Sus scrofa: one gene and its partner. The protein of the gene in region 2 interacts with the protein of the main gene of each other region in a biochemical or structural test. Links are inferred from orthologs where the notes say so. Each region holds a gene or a part of one and is shown on either strand. Other genes may lie near its edges.

Region 1 (2,658 bases), on a different chromosome or scaffold from region 2:
AGGGTTCCCTTTTCTCCACAGCCTGGCCAACCTTTGTTATTTGTGTCTTTTTGCCGATAGCCCTTCTGACAGGTGTGAGGTGATATCTCATTGTGGTTTTGATTTGCATTTCTCTGATGGTTAACGATGTTGAACATCTTTTCATGTGCCTGTCGGCCATCTGTATCTCTTCTTTGGAAAAATGTCTGTCAGGTCTTCTGCCCATTTTTAAATCAGTTGTTTTTATGATGTTGAGTTGTATGAACTATTTATATATTTTGGATACTAACCCCTGATTTGGCATCTCACTTGCAAATACCATACGAACCAGCAATTCCACTCCACTAATTCAGAAAAAAAATACATGAACTCCAGGGTTCATAGCAGCACTATTTACAATAGCCAGGATATGTAAGCAACTTAAGTTCCCATCAACAACTGAATGGATAAAGAAGATATGGTATATATACACGATGGAATACTACTCGCCATAAAAAGTGAAAAATTGCCCTTTGCAACAACATGGATAGACTTGGAGGATATTATGCTTAGTGAAATAAATCAGAGGAAGACAAAGACTGTATGATATCACTTACATGTGAAATCTAAAAAAGAAAACAAGCTAGTGAAAATAAAAAAAGAAGCAGATTCACAGATATATAGAGAACTAGTGGTTACCAGCTGGGAGAGGGCAGGGGGGAGGGAGAAGAGAGGGTAGGGGATTAAGAGGTACAAACCACTATGTATAAAATAAATAGGGACTTCCCAGTGTCGTGCAGCGGAAACGAATCTGACTCGAGTCCATGCGGATTTGGGTTTGATCCCTGGCCTCGCTCAGCAGGTCAGGGATCTGGCATTGCCATGAGCTGTGGTGTAGATCACAGACATGGCTTGGATCCTGTGTTGCTATGGCTGTGGCTGTGGCCGACGGCTGTAGCTCTGATTGGACCCCTAGCTTGGGAACTTCCATATGCTGCAGGTGCGGCCCTAAGAAGCAAAAATAAATAAATAAAATTTAAAAAATAAAAATAAGCACAAGGACATATTGTGCAGTCCAGGGAATTTTATAATAACTGTGGAATATAACCTTAAAAAATTGTGAATCACTGTGTTGTGCACTGGAAACATACAATATTGTACATCAGCTATACCTCAAAAAAAATTTTATGGTAACCAAAAAGAGAAAAAAGAGAGAATGGTGATAGCTTTTACTGAGGGTTTTCTTCTTGACATTAATGGAGACTGCACTGAAAATGCATTTAGTAACAGACTGGGCATTTGAGTTAGGACCCGGCAGGAGGCTGATCCTCAAAGTCCACCCTATTTCCTTCTTTCTCCTCCTCCCTGCAGGCCCGTTCCTCCCACCGTCAGCGCTGCTGCCAGACACAGACTTCTTCCCAGGCACTGTATCCCTCCCTGGCCTGGAGCCCCCCGGCGGGCCGGATCTCCTGGACGATGGTTTTGCCTATGACCCTGCTGCCCCCACACTCTTCACCATGCTGGACATGCTGCCCCCAGCGCCACCACTCTCCAGCGCTGTCGCGGGCAACGGGGGGGCAGGGGCCCCGGTCGCGGAGCCCCCGGGCCCTGAGCCGCTGACGCTGGACTCGTACCAGGCCCCGGGCTCCGGGGATGGAGGCACTGCCAGCCTCGTGGGCAGCAACATGTTCCCCAACCAGTACCGCGAGGGGGGCTTTGGAAGCGGCCTCCTGTCCCCCGGGCCTGAGGCCACGTAGCCCCTGCGGCACTGGAGGAGAGGCACTGGGTGGGGAGGGTGGTGGAAGGGGCCGTGCAAACCCAACCGGGATGTCCAGCACCCCCATCCCCTTGGGCTGCCCTTGGTCCGTCTTCCGACGTCCTCATCCTTCCTAATCGGACATCTTCAGTGCTGGAGAGAAACGCCGTAGCATCGGTTTCCCTTGAGCCCATTTTACAAATGAGAAAACTGAGTCTGGAGAGGAAAAGGGGTTTGGCTTCCAAATACTAGCTCTTTAAAGTTGCCTCAGCTGGGGTGCCTTCTCCCGGCGGATTCTAAAGTGTAAATAGGGGAGGGGGGCGCAGATCCCTAGCCCTCCCTCCCCACGCCTGAAGGTGGGGGGGGTAATTGTTCACAGTCTTCCCAATAAAGACGAATTTTTGAGCCCGGGGGGGGTCTCATCTCTTCTGCACTTGAGAAAATTCCCCGGCTCCTTGGGTACAAAGTCCCTTGGCTCTCGGTTCCGCTCCGCCCTCCTCCAGGCCCCGCCCCTCCGTCCACACCCTAACCTTGGACCCGCCCCTCGCGTCGGCGGAAGCGCGCCTCCGCCGCACCGTGTCCCCCTTCCCCTCCACCGCCCACTTCCGTTTCCGGTGCGGGCCGCGCGAGAGCGCAGAGGTGGGAGGCGGCGACGAGCCGGTGAGTGCAGGCGGCGGGCCCCGGTCTCCTGGCTTCTGGTAGACGTCAGCCCAGCTTCGCCCTTGCCTCAGCCTCTCTCCGTTCTGCTGTGAACCTCCGCTCGGCCCTGGCCCCGAGGGCCGCCCGCCCCGCACCCCGTCTGCTTGCCGGGCCTCAGGCCTCGCCCTGCCCCCGCCATCGGCCCGAACTCGCGCCGTCAGACCCGCAGCTTGCCACAGGTCCCGCCCCCTTGTCAAAAAAACTTAACCCGAACCTTCAGGTCCAGACCCGACGTTCGAGCCCTG
Region 2 (3,568 bases):
GTCACCGATTTTCCACTTGTAAGTCCTTTCTTTCATTTAAAATATGATATATCCTCACTTACTAAAGACTAAATTTTTGAAAACTTAAAAGTTGATGATTAATAAAAAGGAAATATGTGTATATATATGTTATATATAAAAGTATTTGTATTTCAGTATCAATAGTCATATTTAAAGACTAATGGCCAGAATATCTTAAATATGGTCATTTAGGAATGTCTGAAGATCACTCAGAAAAGAAGGCTTTAATTTCCCTTACCCTAAATAGGACATGAAATATGAAGGAATAAAGTATATTATACATATGTCCAGAATGATTTCCTTTTAAAAAGTATTGTTTTCAAAAAAGCTGTAACAGTGTAAGTCACATTTGTCAAGCTAAATAGGTGTATTGGAGGAAGAGAAACCTAATTCTTTGCAAACATTGAGATATGATACTTATTTTGTATTGGCCTAAAGAAGAGACTAAACAATAGCCCTCTTTACTACACAGTTGTAATAAATTAAGACTTAAGCACAGACTAAGAAACAATCCACAGCTTCTCCTTTGCTTCTGATAAAGGCTCTGTGGAGGATATTGCTCAGTGTGAGAATGAATGGTCCTCACTGACCCCCAGAATTAAACAAGCCTGTCTGCCAGTCACAGCCACTCTGGACTCTGGGCACTGGGCAGGTAGAGCCTAAGGGCTGCTGTCTAGAGTTGCAGAGCAGATCTGCTCTCAGCAACAGTTGGCTGTAAAGAAGAAAAAGGGAAGGGCTGCCTTTGGCATGTCCATTCATTCTTAAATATCCAAATCACATAAATCCCCTGCACCTTCCCAAAAAAAAGTGATAAGGAGGGAGAAAATCCAGGAGCCAAACACTAAAAAGGGCTCTAAGTTAAAAGGAAACTTGATGCAGAGTTCCCGTCGTGGCACAGTGGTTAACGAATCCAACTAGAAACCATGAGGTTGCAGGTTCGATCCCTGGCCTCGCTCAGTGAGTTAAAGATCCAGCATTGCCCTGAGCTGTGGTGTAGGTTGCAGACACGGCTCGGATCCCGAGTTGCTGTGGCTGTGGTATAGGCTGGCAGCTACAGCTACCCCTAGCCTGGGAACCTCCATATGCCGTGGGTACAGCCCTGGAAAAAGATTTTAAAAAAAAAAAAGGAAACTTGATGCAACTAGAGATTATCATACTAAATGAAGTAAGTCAGATCAAGATAAACACCATGACATCACTTATATGTGGAATCTAAAATATGGCACAAATGAATCTATACACAAAACAGAAACAGACTCACAAACAGAGAGAACAGATTTGTGGTTGCCGAGGGGGAGGGGGAAGGAGAGAGAGATGGAGTCCAGGTTTGGGGTTAGTGGATGCAGACTATTATATTTAGAAAGAATAAACAACAAGGTCCTACTGTATGGCACAGGGAATTCTATCCAACCTCCTGGGATAGACCATAGTGGAAAAGAATATAAAAATAAATGTATATTTGAGTCCCTTTGCTAAATAGCAGTAATTGACACAACACAATAAATCAACAAAACCTTAATAAAATTTTTTTAAGTTAAAAAAGAAATTTGAAGGACGCTTAGCAGTGTTTGTAGGAATACTTCGTTAAGTAACTATCCTTTCAGACTGATTTTTAAGTGTATTGGTGAGGAATATAGAATTCCTATTATTACTCTACAATCTTGTTTTTTTAGTCCTGGGTAAAGGATTACCTACTCAAACCATGATTCATCAGAGAACAGTACTTATTAAGATGTTTTGTCATCGGTGTTGTGACTTTTGCTGATTTCATTAATAACACTTACTGACTTCACAGGACCTAGATATTGATCCAAAAGATGCAAATAAAGAGACACCTGAAGAAACTGGCAGCTATTTAGTATCAAAGGAACTTCCCAAGCATTGCCTCTATACCAGACTCAGCTCCCTGCAAAAATTAAAGGTTATTGCTATTTCCTGTTTATAACTACTAAGGGAAAACTATGAAAGTGAAAATCCATTTTTGCCTGTGAACCCTTGGTCCATAGATGTGCTGCTTCATTGCATTGTAAACTGAAATAGAGATGATGGCTATAGGGCGAGTCTCATCACTGACCTTTCTCAACTGTAACCCATCCCCGATGATGGCCCGAGGATTTGGGTGTGAGAATGCATGTAGTTATCTTCCAAACTGTTAAAACATTAGAGACAAAGAACATAGTCTACTTTTAAATATCTTAGCATTTTCAAATAAGCACTTCCTAGTTCTGTGACTTTCTGCAAAACAAATTCAAATTGGAATTTATTTGAATCTTTTTTCATTTCTTGTTAATCTTACAAATGAGAAATGACATGGTACATGGTCTATAGCGTTGCGCTTTCTAATATTCTAATATTCTTGATGAACCTGAGTTTTTATTTATAGCTGCATGACCATGGAATGTATTAGCCTGAACTTGGGGAATGAAGTGGGCTCTACTGACAGTGACACAAGGACAACTGTCAGAGAAACCTGTTGTCACCCTGTTTATGGCTCATCCACTTAAACTCTCCTTGTATCTTTGCAATTTAGTCCATTTTATGATTCAGTTATAGTTTCCCACTTATGGTTGGGATTATTTGACAGTATTTTTAAAATAGCTAAACTTTTGACTTAGATGTAATGCCGATCATTTCATTAAAAGGTCATTGATTGCCCATCTCCAGTTATGGGGAAAGAGTTTCCCAAGCCCCATTGCTTGGAAAATGCCTTTTCACTCTTCGTCAATAATGTAATACCAGGAGTTCCCGTTGTGGCGCAGCGGAAATGAATCCAACTAGGAACCAAGAGGTTTCGGGTTCGATCCCTGGCCTCGCTCAGTGTAAGGATCTGTCATTGCTGTGAGCTGTGGTGTAGGTTGCAGACACGGCTCAGATCCCATGTTGCTGTGGCTGTGGTGTAGGCCAGCAGCTGTAGCTCCGATTGGACCCCTAGCCTGGGAACCTCCATATGCCACGGGTTCAGCCCTGAAAAGCCAAAAAAAAAAAAGGGAATACCACATCTCTGTGATTTTGGTTACTTTCAATAGTAAGAACCAGAATTCTACCAATTCAAATTACTGTGAGAGAAGGAAGATAATTTTAGCTACCTTTCTTAGTAGAGAAATTTTAAAGGAGGGAATTCCCGTTGTGGCTCAGCAGGTTATGAACCATGAGGATTCAGGTCCAATCCCTGGCCTCACTCGGTGGGTTAAGTATCCGGTGTTGCCATGAGCTGCAGTGCAGGTCACAGACGTGGCTCAGATCCTGTGTTGCGGTGGCTGTGGCGTAGGCCGGCAGCAGCAGCTCCAGTTCAACACCTTCTATACGCCACAGGTGCAGCCTAAAAAGCAAAAAAAAAAAAAAAAAAAGTAAAGGATACCCTGAAGGTTTGGAACCTGGGAAGGGGGAGTAAGAGTGGGTTTGATGTTGTTCGATTTTGCCTGTATTTGTGTGTGTGAATGATAATCTAAGACTGATGTACTTTCATGGTTGATAAAAATGGCAAACCTTACTTTTTCTTTTCAGGAACATCTTGTCTTCACAGTATGTTTATCATATCAATACTCAG

Evidence for each region. The genes of interacting proteins can lie anywhere in the genome.
Region 1: of the proteins of MALT1 (region 2) and RELB, one has a biochemical effect on the other in vitro, tested with the Homo sapiens proteins (2 studies listed by BioGRID). The link is inferred for Sus scrofa from reciprocal best matches to the Homo sapiens genes MALT1 and RELB.

What each region holds. Positions count from the first base shown.
Region 1 is NC_010448.4:51,478,204-51,480,861, forward strand, and holds the end of RELB (transcription factor RelB), read left to right. Parts: intron 1-1,329; coding exon 1,330-1,715; 3' UTR 1,716-2,147; downstream 2,148-2,658.
Region 2 is NC_010443.5:162,082,416-162,085,983, reverse strand, and holds part of MALT1 (mucosa-associated lymphoid tissue lymphoma translocation protein 1), read left to right. Parts: coding exon 1-18; intron 19-1,816; coding exon 1,817-1,942; intron 1,943-3,525; coding exon 3,526-3,568. UniProt on the Homo sapiens protein: Protease that enhances BCL10-induced activation: acts via formation of CBM complexes that channel adaptive and innate immune signaling downstream of CARD domain-containing proteins (CARD9, CARD11 and CARD14) to activate NF-kappa-B and MAP kinase p38 pathways which stimulate expression of genes encoding pro-inflammatory cytokines and chemokines.